Diceros bicornis minor: one gene and its partner. The protein of the gene in region 2 binds, or shares a complex with, the protein of the main gene of each other region. Links are inferred from orthologs where the notes say so. Each region holds a gene or a part of one and is shown on either strand. Other genes may lie near its edges.

Region 1 (8,179 bases), on a different chromosome or scaffold from region 2:
GACAAGGATTTTAAAGCAGTCATCATAAAAATGCTTCAACAGCAATTACAAACACACTTCAAACAAATGGAAAAATAGAAAGTCTCAGTAAAGAATAGATGATATCAAGAAGAACCAAATGGTAACTTTAGAACTGAAAAATATAATAACTAAAATAAAAAACCTCAATGTATGGGCTCATCAAAAGAATGGAGAAGACACAGGAAAGAATCAGCGAACTTGAAGATAGAACAATAGAAATTACCCAATCTGACCAAGAGAAAGAAAATAGACTGAAAAAAAAAAAAATGAACAGAGCTTCAGGGACCTATAGGGCTATAACAAAAAAAGCCTAACAATAGTGTCACTTGAGTCCCAGAAGGAGAAGAGAAAGAGAGTGAGGCTGAAAAAAAAAAAAAAAAAGAAGAAATTATGGCTGAAAATTTCCTAAATTTGGCAAGATCTAAACTTACAAATTCAAGAAGCTGAGCAAACTCCAAACGGGATAATTCCAAAGAAATTCATGCCAAGATATATCATAGACAAACTTCTGAAAACTAAAGACAAAGAAAAAACTCTTGAAAGCAGTGATGGAGAAACAACACCTTACCTATAGGGGTAAAATTATTCAAATGACAGAGATATCCCATCAGAAACCACGGAGGCCAGAAAGAAGTGGCACAATATTTTCCAGGTGCTGAAAGAAAAGTGTCAACCCAGAATTCTATATCCAATAAAAATATCCTCCAGGAATGAAGGGGAAATCAAGACATTCTCGAAGGAAAACTAAGAGAATTTGTCACCAACAGACCTACCTTAAAAGAATGGGTAAAGGAAGTTCTCTGAGCAGAAAGGAAATAAGAGAAGGAATTTTGGAACATCAAGAAGGAAGAAAATGGGCCAGCCCCGTGGCTTAGCGGTTAAGTGCGTGGGCTCCGCTGCTGGCGGCCCGGGTTTGGATCCCGGGCGCGCACCGACGCACCGCTTCTTCGGCCATGCTGAGGCCATGTCCCACATACAGCAACTGGAAGGATGTGCAGCTATGACATACAACTATCTACTGGGGCTTTGGGGGAGAAAAAAATAAATAAATAAAATCTTTAAAAAAAAAAAAGGAAGAAAAAATCGAAAGAGCAAAAATATGAGTAAACACAATAGACTTCCTCTCTCCTCTTGAGTTTTCTAAATTATGTTTGATGGCTGAAGTGAAAATTATGCCACAGTCTGATGTGGTTCTCAATGAATGTAGAGGAAATATTAAGGCAATTATAAATGGGGTAGGATCCACATCCACATACTGGCAGGGTGACGAACGCCAACTCCATGGGGACAGAAACTCCTGCATTCAGGACCCTCCCATACCTCACCTTATGTATCTCTTCATCTGTATCTTTTATCATATCCTTTACCATATAATAAACTGGAAAATGTGTTTCCCTGAGTTTTGTGAGCTCTTCTAGCAAACAATCAAATCCAAGGGCATGGGAACCTCCAACTTGTAGCCATATCAGACAGATGTCGTGGGGAACCTGGGGACCTACTACTTGCAATTGGCATCCAAAGGCAATTGGCATCTGAATTTGTGGGGGAAGTCTTGTTGGACTGAGCCCTTAAACTGTGGGATCTGACACTATCTCCAGGTAGATAGTGTCAGAATTGAGTTAAATTGTAGGACACCCAGCTGGTTGTTGGTAGTGTGGTAGTAGTGTGAGACTAAAGGAGAAACACAGGAGGAAGACTTTTTTCTAATAAAGTCGTGTATATATAATATAATACCTAGAGCAACCACTAAAAAAGCTACACAGAGATACACTCATAAACACTATATGGATAAATCAAAATGGAATTCTAAACAAGATGAAAGGTGTTATATCTATCTTTTTAAAACCCTATTTAGTTGGAATTTTTTACTTATATGGGCCTTTACTTTTTCTCCCCATGGGTTAAGTGGCCCTGAAGACGAGACTCACTCTCAGTTAACACAATAGCAGCACTCATGAATGCTGCATCATAAAAAAGTATATAGAATAAAAATTACAGTATAAGACAGTATTCTTAGAACAAGTACTCAATCCACAAGTGTAAGCAAATACTAAAAGAAGTTTCTAAAGAAGAGTTTTAAGAACCCAGCAGGGGCCATAAAAGTAAAAAGTTAACTGAATTCTTTCATTAGATTTTTTCTTACTATTCATACTGATAGACATTCAGGTTCTAAGAATAACTTCAACTGTAGAAATAACTACCCATCTTATCAAAAGTAAGTCAGATTACTGTGTACTGCCTGTGTACTGCCATCACAATGCTCCATGCACTCAAATATATTCCCTGGTTCTTGTAGCCAGAACTCTGGAAAGCGCAGCAAAGACTGGCTAGTTATTCACCAAATCGTTTCTCTTTCCCCACTAGGCATACTGACAGACCGTGTTTCCCAGCCTCCTCTGAAGTTAGGTATAGCCATGTTAATGGGTTCTGGCCCAGTGGAATGTGGGTGGAAGGCTCTGCCATAAAACCATCCCATGCATGATCCTCCATTCTTGCCCCTCATCTGTTGGCCAGATGTAAAGGATCCAATGGAGAGGAACATAGGAGGCCCCAAGGAAGGGTAGCCACTAGATAGAAGGAGACTGGGTCTCTGAATCACCACTTGGCAAAAAATTATGAGTCATTTGACCAGGAGCACCCAAGTGGAACAGCATACAGACAATAAATAAAAATTTGTGTTAAGCCACTGAAATTGTGAGGTGTTTGTTTTTAAATAGCAGTTAGCCTACTTTGACAAATACAAGCGTACACATGTTTCTCATGCTTCCTTTCTCTGCTTCTCCACAACTGAATTCACTAGAGAATTAGTTGTGAGACTCCTTCAGTGACCCTGCAAAAAGATATCAAACCTCCTTGGAGAAACTTGCCAACTGCTAAGTCTAAGTTCTTTTCATTAGCTGCACTTCGTTGTTGACATATTCCACTGAACTTGTGAGTCTGGGGAATACTTTGGAATCCAACATTGAGAGCTAAAAGAATCACTCCTTGCTGTTTTTACACAGTCATGGTCAAGAGAGCTTGTCACTTGATTTCCCAGTTGGCATCTAGGTAAATGGCAAATACATAGGTTTCCATTTCTACTGAGGTGCCAAACTGCATAACAGAGTTAAGATGACGCTGTGATCTGACAGAGCAAAGCAGTTATAAAGATTTTGGAATTACATTACCACACTATCCCAAATTATTTAAAAAAGTAAGTATATTTAGGTGTCTTTTTTTCTATCTATGACTCTACAGTTGTGAAACTTCTGAGCCTGCACAGGTTCTTGAACTTTTTTGTGCCACAGACCCTCCGTAAGTCTGGTAAACCTAAGGGATTCCTTATCACAATAATGTTTCAAAATGAACAAATACATAGGAGTACAAAGAAAACTGAATTAAAATATAGTTATCAAAATATTTTAAAAATGTTATAGTTATATGTGTCTCCATCGACACATTAAATAACAAGACCCTAGTAGTGGGTCTAATAGTTACTGCAATTTTGAAGTAATGATGAGTGGAAATGACACTTTGATATAACTAACAATTATTATGAAATGAAAATATCTGTGATTTCTATTGGTGACAAAAATCACAAGTATTACTAATTGGTTTGTTGCTACATTCATAAGCAAAAGAAATGCTGAATTTCAATTAGAAGTTAATGAAACGAAAGATGAAATTTTGATTTTATCCATGGAGCCCAGGTTAAGAACTCCAGGACTAGAGGTTTCCCCAAAACATCGATAGTGCTTATCTCTCGTGGAAATATGGGTGGTTTAAATTTTTCTTCTTTTCTGTATTTTTCAAATTTTCCACAATGAGCAAACATCAGTTTTATAATTACAAAAACCATCACATGATATTTACAAAAATGAGAGGGGTGTATTGCTTGGTAAGTTTCAAGGTACAGAAATAAAATTGGGAAAACAAAGCAATATTTGAAGAAAATCTTTTAGAAAAAAAGAGGGGAACAAAATTCTGGGTGAAAATGGAGAAATTAAACCTGACTTTCATCAGCGAGATTTAAAGCTGGTGAGACCGTTATGACATTTATCTTCATACACAAACGGATCAATTCTTCAATACATGATGCCGCCTCAGGGCTGAAGCACCATAACTCTTTTAACAAGCCACACAACCACTCTCAGGTCACATCCGAAGTAAAAAAAAAAGGGAACTCACAGGCTGCTATTACTCATTTTAGTAATTTTATTATCCATGCCGTTTGCATCTTCCACTTTTGCTAAACTCCCAGCCAGGACTTGTCTGCCTACTCAGTGCTCCACGCGTGGTTTGGGAAAGAGAAATCCCAGGCAATGGAATCCAAACTCCTTACCAGGCCCCTACAAGACCCTCCTGGATCTGACCCCTACCTGCCTCCCCAGCTTACAACTGCATTCCCCATGCGTCAGCCTCTCTGACCTTTTGATTCCTCCAATAAGCCAACCTTGTCCCAGCCTCGGGGGCTTTGCCTTTCCTGGTCCTCCTTCCTAGCAAATTTCTCCTCCAGAGCTCCCCCGGACCAGTCTGGCTCCTCATCCCTGTACTCCAGTGTCTTTCCTCATAGAGACTTTCCCGACTGCCCTATCGAAAGTCCCCAAGCCACCCCCGCCGGTCATATTATTGCCAACAGAACTCTCTGAAATTATTTCCATATTTCTCTTACTAGGAAGGAAACTACTCGAAAGCAGGAACCTTGTCAATATTGTTCACCTCTGAATCCTCAGCACCTAAAACTACCTGGCGCAGGAATGAGTGAATGAGTACGTGGAACGAATGAATACCTGTGGACTGTCTTCCTGGGGCGCACTCTGCCTTAGAAACAGAAACCAGTTTGTCGAGCAAAATCACGTTAATAGCAGTTTTAACCTGACCGCTGAATTGTTGGCCCCCTACGAACCTCTAGAGCAGACAATCATAGAATCCTGGGCGAGCCCAGGCGCGAAAACAGAACCCCGAATACCCTTCCACGGCTGTCGGCGTGCCACTGCGGCTGCGCGGAGCGTGGGGAGGGGGCGTGGCCAAACCCGTTCTCCGGAAGTGAGTCCAGAGCCGGCGAGAGGACGCGGCGGGCGGGCTAGAGCGGCGCGGCCTGACCGTATGGGGGCGAGCGGGTCATGGAGGACGAGCAGAGCTTCTCGGATATCTGCGGCGGTCGCCTGGCTCTGCAGCGCCGCTACTACTCCCCGTCCTGCCGGGAGTTCTGCCTCAGCTGCCCTCGGCTCTCGTTGCGCTCGCTCACTGCTGTCACCTGCACCGTGTGGCTAGCGGCCTACGGACTCTTCACCCTCTACGAGGTAATGGCCGGTCGGCCCCTTCCCGCGGTCGGAGTCGGGGGCTTGGGTTTGGAAGGGTCTTTGGGGTCTTAGTGGCGAGCCCGGACCTCTCGTCGGACCCTCCTAAAGTCGTAGGGCCAGAGGGCGGGAACTCGCTGGCCCCGGGACGCCATTCGCTGCTCTTTTCATTACGTTGAGCGAAGTTTGTGCTTCTGTACTTTACACTTCTCCGGGGTCGCCGCTCTGCTCTGTGGCTCCACTCCGCGTACATCTAGTCTGTGCACGACAGGCTAACTTCCACGTGCCCTATATAGTCCATGCTCACAGTAACTCAGTTCCAGGAGTTCAGAGAACTGTTAAGTGGATCGTACTCGTCCATCTCTTCCACTCAGAGGTATCACTGCTAACAATATCTTATATAGTCTTCTAGAAACTGTCTTTGCCTCCAGAATGTGTGTGTGTGTCACACATACACACAAGGTATTTAAGAGCTTGATAGCAGCTTTTATACTTCTTCGTAATCTTTGTTTTTCAAGGCAGCTTACCCTCCCTTCACAAACCCCTTCGCCAACTTTAAGTACTTTCTAAAGAATTATGAAATTTCTGAGATGGGTGGTTTCTGTGCTCAATTTTCAGACTCATTCCTATTTTCTGAGCGTCAGTTTTCACATCTCTAAAGTGGAATTAATATCTGCCATGCCACCTTCACAGTATTGTGAGGGTCACATGCAGGAGCTTTGTGACAGCCCTCAAATAAAAAGAATGATCCTAATTGCCCTTTTCGGAATGAGTTTAGTTTCATGTGTGGTACCCTGAATTGAATATATTATTCTAGGAGTGATCTGACCAGAGCTAAATGCAGCAGGATATTTGCATATTGTTTCCATTACTGCATCCGTTAGCTTTTTTGCCATCAGAGCATATTTTCAGAGCGTGGTAATTTAGCATAGATGTATGCAGAATTAAGACTGCCCTAATTTGTACCAAATTGTATCTAAAAGTTTGTTCATAAGTCAGTTGAAATGGCTAAGTTGCCAGGACAGTCCTTCCCCCTCCCACAAAAAAGATTTAATTTATAATATAGTTGAATTTTAATACTAACTTGTTCTGGCTCATGTGAGGAGGAGGGAACAGATATTTATTAAATGCCCACTACATGCCAGCTGCTTTACTGAATGCCCCATTTCAACCTTAGAAGAAAACCAAGGCTCAGAAAGAATGAACTTCTCCGAAGTTACAAAGCTAGTAGCATACCTGGGCTTCAAACCCAGGGCTGTCTAACTCTGAAACCCTTTCTTTTCTACCATATTATGATGTCTCCTCCTTGGGGAGGACTTGCTTAGACAAAATTTTTAATTAGGAGAAGTTTGTTATTAATCCACCTCCCTTTTGTACTCATCTCTCTCATCGTGGTATATCCCACTTACCCCCATCAAGTGCCTAGGACTCAGTAACCTCATCTTCCTTTAAACTCCACTGCAACACTTCTTAAGGGCTCTGTGTACCAAAATTCTTATCTTTCCCCCTATTCAAAACTGTTTGTCAGAGTAATGAATCTCAGCTAGGAGTGAGAAGAAATCTGATGAAGGAATTCATTAAAACATGTGGCTTAACTTCAACCCAGATGAATATTGAATTGTTAGAATTTCAGACAGAAAAATGAAGTATAAAAAATGCAGGTAGTAATGAAGTTTTGGGCAGAGATTACCATATTAAAAAACTGATATGAATCAAATCCCCTAGACATTTACTGCTCTTCATCTCTTCTTGCCCTCCAGTTTTTTTTTTTTTGTGAGGAAGATCAGCCCTGAGCTAACATCCATGCTAATCCTCCTCTTTTTGCTGAGGAAGACCGGCTCTGAGCTAACATCTATTGCCAATCCTCCTCCTTTTTTTCCCCCAAAGCACCAGTAGATAGTTGTATGTTGGAGTTGCACGTCCTTCTAGTTGCTGTATGTGGGACGCGGCCTCAGCATGGCCGGAGAAGCGGTGCGTCGGTGCACGCCCGGGATCCAAGCCCGGGCCGCCAGCAGCTGAGCCCGCGCACTTAACCGCTGCGCCATGGGGCCGGCCCTCCCTCCAGTTTTTGAATTCACTGTTCTATTAAAATTCCAGGTTTTTTCCTTATTTATTCCAATATGGAATGTTCTCCCCCCTTCCTTTTCTCAATTTAGTATATCTGTCAATAACCACCACCTTCTCTGCACCAATTAAATTCTGCTTCCTTGGAAGTCTTCATAGGATGTTCCTGTGTGCTTTAGTCTTTGTCTTTCTGGCTCTCTCTTTTAATCCTTTCTTAGGCATTTCAGTCAGTATCATAGTATTCTCCAGAAGTATTTTATATGTATTAATCTTGCCTCTAATAAATCTCTGAGGGCCAGAACTGAATTTTATTTCTCTCCATTCTTCCATAATGCTTTCAGACTATGTACAAGACACTGTACTAGATACTAGGCATTTAAGTAACTCAAAGTAGATATTTCTGGATCATCAGAGACGCAGCACATAGATTTCTCCATCCCCCATTCATTAATCAGCAACTAATTATCTAGCACACAGGTCAGCAACCTTTTTCTTTAAAAGGCCGAATAGTAAATATTTTAGACTTTACAGGTCTCTGTCTCATATTTTTCTGTTTCTTTTTCTTTTTTTTAACAACCCTTTAAAAATTGTAAAAAGCATTCTTAGCTCAAGGTGAACCACAGGCCCAAATAGTTTGCAGACTCCTGATCTAATACTATGTGTTAGGCAGAAGAAAGTAGAAAGGTACTGTCAAAGAAAACCAGAGCCGGTCAGTAAAGTGGTAAAAACAGATTTTATTCAGAAACTATTGCAGTAGGAAAAAAGAGACCTCAGTATAGAATTGGGCTCAATTCTGAATACAGCATGGACAAGTT
Region 2 (8,097 bases):
CCCCATTAATCAAGATGGGCAGCAGATAGTGCTGGCCAACCTTCCCACCTCGGGGCATTAGGAGGCAGCATCCAGAGCTGGGGTGCGGGCCGGCCAGGTGGGGAGCACTGTGGGTTGCAGACAGAGGCTGACCCCCTCCACCTTCCAGGGGCTTCCTGGAGGGGCTGCAGGAGGCTGGGGGCTAAGTTAGGAGTGTCCGGAAAATCCCCAGGTCCTGAGTCTGAGGGAGACCCACCCCTCCTCGGCCTCCTGTCAGCAACCCCACGTGTCTACTGCACCCCAATTTCTCATTAACCAATGGGCAGACATGAGCCTGGCCCTGCTGGGGGGCCTCACCCCAGCTTCACAGGTGCAGAAATGGGATCAGAGAGACAGGACCCAACCTTCCCAGTCTAGGGCTTGGCAAGGTGGACCCCCTGGGGTCCCCTAACCTGGACTCTGGTGGGTGACCCAGCCAGCAGGTGGGGGTGCAGCACCTTCTTCGAGGTCCTGACTCTGCAGTCCTGCTGGGGGACATCGGGTGGGGCTGCCTCATACACAGACGTTTGCTGGCGCCTCCTGAGAAGCAAGCCCACGAACTGCATTGCAGCGGATTGTGGCGGGCCCTGGGGGCCTCCTGGAGGAGTTGGCTGGCTGGACCCTGAGCGGCATCCAGCCATGTAGGGGCAGCAGAAAGAATGTCCAGAGGCCAGTGCAAAGGCCTTGAGGCAGGAATGTAGCAGCACTGAGGAGTCCCTGGGGGGTTAGCAGCTGAGTGACAGGACTCCAGAAAGCTGCCTTGGGCCACTGCTCAAACGTGGCCACGGCCGGAGTCCCGCCCACCCCCTCCCCCCCACCTGTGCCAGCTGCGTCAGGGCGGCTCCTCCCACTCTCTCAGGCTCTCATTTCCAACAACAGAGACTGCTGGTGGAGCAGGGCCCAGGGAACCCGGCCCCAGGTAGAAGACCCTCCCTTCTGGCCTCACTGGGGGTAGGGGCAGGCGGAGAGGCCTAGGAAAGGACCCCTGCCTCACCACTCAGGGTAGGAAGTCTCCAGGGGCTGTGTGGGGGCCACAGGCAGGGGCTTGGGCTGCCCCCAAGGAGGGTCACTTTCCTGCCTGATGGAAGAAAGGGTTCCGTGGACAGATGAATTTGAGAAGCACAGCTCGTCTGTCACCAACCACCCCCACCCCGACCTCAGGACGTCCCAGTGCCCGTGGGCTCATTCGGGCCTCAGAGCAAACCCACGGTGACATTCACGAGTTGCGTGTCTCCCAGAATTATGTTCCAGGGACCTAGAGACACAGCCGGCAGCTGGGCCTTCAGACTGGGCTGGCACTCAGGACCTGGTGGAACTGAGTTCAGATCCAGCTCCCCCTGCCTCAGCTTCCTCACCTGTAAAACAGGAGGACGCCAGCACTGCCTGGAAGGGCGCAGGGGATCCCTGTGGCCGCTGCTTGGCGTACAGTGGCTGTTATTTCTCTTGCAGCCCCAAACTTGGCCCAGCTGCGGGGACTCTGCTCAGAGAGGCTGAGTCTGTGATCTCCGCCTGCCTGCCTGCCCGCCCTCTGGCCTCCTGCTCCGACCTCCTGGGCCTCCCCTACCAACCGGCCACCGCCCCCAGGGCCTGCTCCTCATGCTGGGCCCGCCTGGAGACCCTGTTCACTTCCGGGGGTGCCAGCTGCTAGGGCGGATCCCAGTGCCCGCAGGGGCTGTGGGTGGGCCCCGGGGCCTGCACTGCTCCCTGGACGGCCTGCTCTTCCTGACGGCTGGGGCTGCACCCTGCATCCACATGCTGGACCTCGAGGGACGCTCCATCTGCCACCTGCCCTGACACATGCCAGGGGCTGGGGCCTTCGTGCCGGAGGATGTGGCTGTGACAGCTGCTGGGCTCGTAGTGGTCAGTGACCTCGTCCACGGAGCTGTGCACGTGCTCCAGCACACTGCCCGAGCCCCCTAAGGCCACTGGGTGACAGTGGGCACCTTCTTGGTCCCCCGGGGGCTGGCTGTGGATGCCCTTGGCCGCCTCCTGGTGGCGGACTACGTGCCTGGGGCCATATACAGCTTCACATTGGGCCCTGCCTTGGAGCGGCTGGCCCCAGCCTCCATGCTGGGTCTGGAGGACCCCTGCTGGGTGGGCCTGGGGCCTGACGGGGGCTTCACCGTGAGTGAGGAGTTTTGGGACGTGCAGCTGTTCAGCAGTGCCCGCCAGCCCCTGGGCTCCCTGGCGGGCCTGACGGGGCATGCCTTTGGCAGCCCAGCAGGTGTGTGCACCAACGCGGAGGGCAGCGTTATTGTGGTGGACGAGCAGCGGCGCCAGGTGACCCTGTTCCCCAGAGCTGGGGCGCCCATCTGCCTGGTGTCTGAGGGGCTGAGGCCCTTGGGTGTGGCCTGTGCGCCCCAGGTCAGCTCATGGTGGCGGATGCAGGGGATGGCTACATCAAGGTGTACCAGTACTACTCGGAGCTGGCCTGACTCGGTGGGCTCAGATGGAAGCAGCTCCCTCACGGTGCGTGGATCCCGGACCACCACGGGAGGAACATTCAGGGTTGCTGGGGTCCGGCAGGGCTGCTGGCCATGCCTTCCTGACCCTGCACATTTGTGACATTTGCTGAGCATCTACTGGGTCAGGCCCAGGCTGGCCCCCGTCTTCCTTGTGCAGTGTTCAGACTGTCAGCAGCCACGAACCAGCTGCCTCCCAGCCTCCCCCAAGACCCAGTTCAGTGGGCCCCGGTGCTCACTGCCCCCATGTCCACTCCGGCCCGGCCCGCTGGCTCAGGGCCTGGAAGGCCTGAGCTTTGGGGCCAGCAGCCGAAGCCTGGAGACCTTTGGCGTGTTGGGCTGGCTGCCAGCACTTGCCCAGGCAGGATCTCCCGCCAGGGCCCCAGGCCCGGCCTCCTAATCAGACAGAAGCAGGCAGGAGGGCGCGGCCCGGCTTGCCTGGGCTGGGCGGCCTGGGCAGGGGTGCGGCCCCTCACTGTCCCCCATCCTCAGAGGCGCCCCGGCCTTCTGCAGCTTCTCTGGGCCCAGCTGAGGTAAGGGGGAGGCAGGGGAGGGCACCTGGGGTGGCACGTGGCCGAGTGGGGATCCTCTCTGCCCCTGGTCCACGTCTCTTGTGTGAGGCCATCTCGCGGGCTGAGCCCTCATCTCCTCTGCAAACCAGGACCAAGCAGCTCCACGCTCATGGGTGGGGTGCTGGAGGGCGGCGGGTGGTGTCGAGTCCAGGAAAGCCTTCCCGTGAGGACAGACTCCTGCTGCTGGAGAAACCGGGGAACAGGCCCGGAGGGTGGGAGGTGCAGAGTTTCTCTGAGCCCGGGGTCGGCCGGCTCCTCGCTCCCGGGAGAGGTCATCGGGGGCCACCAGGACATTGCGGTCTGTGGTTTAGGCCACTGCGTCTGTCAAGGTCCCCCCTGTATGTCCTGGCCCCTGCAGGTGGGGATAAACTGGGTCAATATAAGGAAGCGTGTGCAGTAGGTGCTCAATAAAGGTTAGCTGTTGCTGCTGGTGTTGGGGTGTTATTCCCTGGAGCAGGAGGGGCCAGGGCCACGTCCTGACGGTCAGATCGGATGGCTGCAGCCTCTGGGCTGGCCCTCCAAGACCCAGCCTTCCTAGCCCACCTGGCCCTGGGGGGACCTGGGGTGCCCCTCTGCAGAGACCAGTGCGCGAGGGGGCCAGGATGGGGGCAGCCTGAGGTCGGAACCCTCGAAAGCCAAGTCCACAGGGTCCCTCAGAGGAGGAAACCGGGGGTGGGGGAGGTGGGGTACTGGAAGGCAGAGGTGTTGGGGATGCGGAGTCGACTGGAGTGGGGACAAGGATGCTGAGGGGGACAAGGATGCTGAGTGGGACAAGGACGCTGAGGGGGGACAAGGACACTGAGCGGGGACAAGGACGCTGAGGGAACAAGGATGCTGAGAAGAGACAAGGATGCCGAGGGGGACAAGGACGCTGAGGGGACAAGGGCACTGGGGGGACAAGGACGCCGAGGGGGGCGAGGACGCCGAGGGGGGCGAGGACACCGAGGGGGGTGAGGACGCCCGGGGGGTCAAGGACTCCAAGGGGCACAAGGACGCCCGGGGGGGGCAAGGACGCCGAGGGGGGCAAGGACGCCGAGGGGGGCAACGATGCCGACGGGGGACAAGGATGCCGAGGGGGACAAGGACACCAACGGGGGACAAAGACGCCGAAGGGGGACAAGGACTCTGAGGGGCACAAGGACTCTGAGGGGGACAAGGATGCTGAGGGGGACAAGGACTCTGAGGAGGGATAAAGTCTCCAAGAGGGACAAGGACGCCGACGGGGGGGACAAGGACGCCAAGGGGGACAACGACGCCGACGGGGACAAGGACGCCGACGGGGGGACAACGATGCCGAGGGGGACCAAGGACTCTGAAGGGGACAAGGACGCTGAGGGGGACAAGGATGCCGAGGGGGGACAAGGACCAACGACACCAAGGGGGACAAGGACGCCGAGGGGACAAGGACGCCGAAGGGGACAAGGACGCTGAGTGGGACAAGGACGCTGAAGGGGACAAGGTCGCCTAGGGCGACAAGGACTCTGAGGGGGGACAAGGACGCTGAGGGGCAGAAGGACGCTGAGGGGGACAAGGACGCTGAGTGGGACAAGGACGCTGAGGGGCACAAAGACGCTGAGGGGGGACAAGGACGCTGAGGGGGACAACGACGCCGAGGGGAACAAGGACTCTGAGGGGGGACAAAGGCGCTGAGGGGCACAAGGGCGCTGAGGGGGGACAAGGGTGCTAAGGGGGGACAAGGACGCTGAGGGGGGACAGGACTGCGCGCGGGCCGCTAGCTCCGGGGCGGGAACGCTGCGCGTGCGGAACGCTTGGGCGGGGCCGGCGGCAGCCCGGGCACCTTTGGGGCCGGACCGTCGCGCGGCAACCCTGGAGCCGGCGGAAATGGGCCTGGCGTCCCGCGGCGCGGCCGCGGCGGGCTGGGGGCCGCGAGCGCTGTCGTCCGCCGCGGCGCGTCCGACGCCGTCCCCAACCCCGTCCCGACCCCGCCGCCCGCGCGCGCGGCCCTGGGCGGCAGCCGGTGAGCATTCGGGGAGGGAGCCGCCGTGGCCCGACGCAGTCGAGCGGGCTGCCGGTCTCCGGGGTTCCTCCCGGGCCGCGCGGGCCTCCGCCGCCCGGAGCTTCTGTGCCCCCGGAAGACGGGGCTGGCGGGGGCCGCGGGCTGGGGGCCGAGACCGCGGCGGGCAGCGAGCGCCGCGGCGGCGGATCTGCGGCCGGGCCGCGGGTGCCCGCCGGGAGTCCGATGCCCTCACCCCGGCGGTGAGGGGCGGCTCCCTTCGACGCCCGGCCCGGCGGCGGGGACCTGTGGAAGGGCGTTCCGCCAGCACTTCCAGTCGTCCCTGACTGCAGTGAGGGCCAAAGACAGAGCCCTTCCTCACGTCCGTTCTTCTGAAACGAGGGGCAAGCGCTGTTGACCCACCGCGAGACCTCGTCCATGTCGTTTCAACGCAAACCACATGGAGGGGGATGGAGCACTCGTGCGCTCCTGAGACGCAGTGCGGGGCTCTGAGGAGGGTTCCGCCTGGGAAGCCCTGGCGGTGTGGCGGGGCTCCCCCAGAGCCGGTCCGTGGGGGATGAGAGGGGAGCAGCCTCCCCTTCTAGGGTCAACTCGACCTCAGGATCTGCGGGAGGGGCGCCCCGAGTCCCGGGGGCCTGACGGATCCGGGAAGGGGCCGGTTCACACTTGGTGTTGTTCTTAGCAGTACCTTTGTTTTTTTATCAGAGCCTTTAAAGATGCGCATGTTGCTGGAGTCACTGCCCGCTCCCCCGCCTGCACCCTGCTATCGATCGCCTGCTCTTTCATCTTCTGTCTGATCTGCGCGGGCTTCTTTGTGTTGGTCGCTCCCAGAGGCTGAGGCGGGAGTGGGGCTGGGAATTTGCTCTGTAATTTGTTAAGAGTTCTCTCTCACTACCCCAAGGACAAGAACGGCAACTTCTGCCCTCCGCTCTTCTTTAGACGTGAGGAGCTGCTGCTTTTTTTGGGGGGGGGGGTAAACTTTGTAGATGAAGCGTAATACACACAAAGTGCACAAAGAGTATGTGTACAACTCGACGAGTTTTCCCAAAGTGAACACACCGTGTAGCCTGCTCCCCAAGAGCATCTGTTCACACTTAGGCCAATTGTGTTTCTTTTCTGACAGTAGCCGTGGGCAGCTTTCCTTATTAGCTCCTGTGAAACGAGTCCCCAGGCAGAGTGTCATGATGTCATTTGGCTGAGCTGGTGTGTCCCGACAGGCTGAACTGAGAGGCTTGGACCGTGCTGGCTGGTCCCCCGGGGTGGTCACCCAGCCAAATGCACCAGGTCTCTCACAGGCAAAATTGTTCTCTCTCTCTCATGATGCCTTATTCCGGAGGACGGCCCCCGCAGAAGGGTTGGGAAGACACGTTGGCCCTTGATGCCCTTGTTGATGGCCGCAGGGATTCTGCCCGCGCTGCTTTCGGGCTCCTTTCGGGCTCTGGGCCTTCCCCTGCTGGCACCCACTGTTGCTTGCCCTCTCTGGTCGCTGGGGGGGCAGGGCATTTGGGAGTCCTGCTGCTGCTTGACTCAGAGGGACCCTTTTCAGTTGGAACCCACGGCCGCAAGAGGTCCCTTTAACAAGCTGGCTGGAGAGGCCTCAATCCTGCAATCCCCATTTGGGCTACTTGCAGTGGAGGAACGCAGCTGCCCTGGTGGCCTCTTAAGCCCTGGTGTTGGTGAGGCCCCTCCTAGGGCCCACTGACCCTCAGGAAGGGGCTCCCTGCACCTCCCGCAACATTGCACCATCCCAACGCGAGTGTCCCTCTCTGTCCCCTTGTCCCTGAGGGCCTGGTGAGCACTGGGAACAGAGGCCTAGGCTCAGTCTGAGGCCTGTGCCCCTCCCTCAGGTGTGGGCTCCAACGTGGGGTCTTAGTTCAGGGCGGCTGCTCTGTCCTTTGTGCCAACAAGGTGGGGGCAGTCAGTGTCTGAGAAACGCGTGCTCCTAGGCGAATCCACTCAGCGCCACACTGCCCGTCAGGCCCCGTCTGGGAGGGGCTCAGGGAGGAATGAGGTGCTTGCTGAGAAGCCCACATCCCCAGTGAGCTTACTTCTGGACAAGCCAAGGCTCAGGGTCCCGCAGAATTCAGGCATCCCGGCTGCTTAGGGCCGTTCTTGCTGCTCAGAGTCCACATGAAGGTCGTGAGAGGCCAGGAAGCCTGGCGTCCCCTCAGCCTGGTGGGATCTTGCCACTCTCCAGGGCCTGCGAACTTCCCACCCCCATTTCTAGATAGCTACCCGGTGGGAGGAATGCTCCTGAAGGAGGCACTCAGCTGTGACAAGAGGACACTCCCCTGCTGGGAGCCCTGCCCTGAAGTGGCAGACGGATGGGCTCCTGGGAAGGGTGGGCACTGCCAGAGGCTGGAGGCCTTGGGGGTCGGAGAGAGGCAGAAGCCGCCTGAGAGCTGAGAGCCCAGAGCTGAGCCTGAGCCTGCTCCCTGGGCACTGAGGCTCCTCCAGGGGCCCACTGGGCAGGGGCGGGCTGGGGGCACCTGCACCAGTGCCCAGGGCCGCTGGCAGTGTGCACGTGTCTGGTTTCCCTTAGCTGGCAACAATTTATTTAAATTTTCATCTTTATTCTTGCTAGCTTTGTAAGTAAATCAAGGTTCGTTAGAGTTTGAATTTGCATTATTTTAATTGTTAATGAGATCCTATGTCTTTCCATGTGCTACACATTAAAAATCCTAATCAGTTTCCTTAGAAACAACTGAAGCCCTCGTGTTCAGTGCGCACACCCTGTGAGTGGTCCTGAGCAGGTCGTGTAACCTCGTCCTGCTTCATCCTGCTTGTCTTTGAAATGAGGGAGTGTGTTGACCTGCCTCGGGGTGGGGATGGGGGCGGCTTGGGGCTGGGCCTGCGCTCACAGCAGCTGGGGTAGAGGTGTGGGTGGTGCCCATGTGAGATGGACAGCTAGAAGGCGCCCACCAGCCTCTGACCAAACCCAAAGCTGGGTCGCCCCAGTGTGTGGGCCCTGTGGCCACGTGGATGCATCCGTCAAGGCTGTCTATGCCACAGGTTGTCCATGGCCTGCAGCCACGGCGCTGCCAGCCGCTCTGGGCCCGTCAGGGTGCAG

What was found.
Region 1: PIGQ (region 2) and PIGH share a complex: the UniProt entries of both Homo sapiens proteins name them as parts of the glycosylphosphatidylinositol-N-acetylglucosaminyltransferase (GPI-GnT) complex. The link is inferred for Diceros bicornis minor from reciprocal best matches to the Homo sapiens genes PIGQ and PIGH.

Annotation. Positions count from the first base shown.
Region 1 is NC_080763.1:16,254,866-16,263,044, reverse strand, and holds the start of PIGH (phosphatidylinositol N-acetylglucosaminyltransferase subunit H), read left to right. Parts: upstream 1-5,068; 5' UTR 5,069-5,123; coding exon 5,124-5,303; intron 5,304-8,179. UniProt on the Homo sapiens protein: Part of the glycosylphosphatidylinositol-N-acetylglucosaminyltransferase (GPI-GnT) complex that catalyzes the transfer of N-acetylglucosamine from UDP-N-acetylglucosamine to phosphatidylinositol and participates in the first step of GPI biosynthesis.
Region 2 is NC_080765.1:47,745,119-47,753,215, reverse strand, and holds the start of PIGQ (phosphatidylinositol N-acetylglucosaminyltransferase subunit Q), read left to right. Parts: upstream 1-4,950; 5' UTR 4,951-5,030; intron 5,031-8,097. UniProt on the Homo sapiens protein: Part of the glycosylphosphatidylinositol-N-acetylglucosaminyltransferase (GPI-GnT) complex that catalyzes the transfer of N-acetylglucosamine from UDP-N-acetylglucosamine to phosphatidylinositol and participates in the first step of GPI biosynthesis.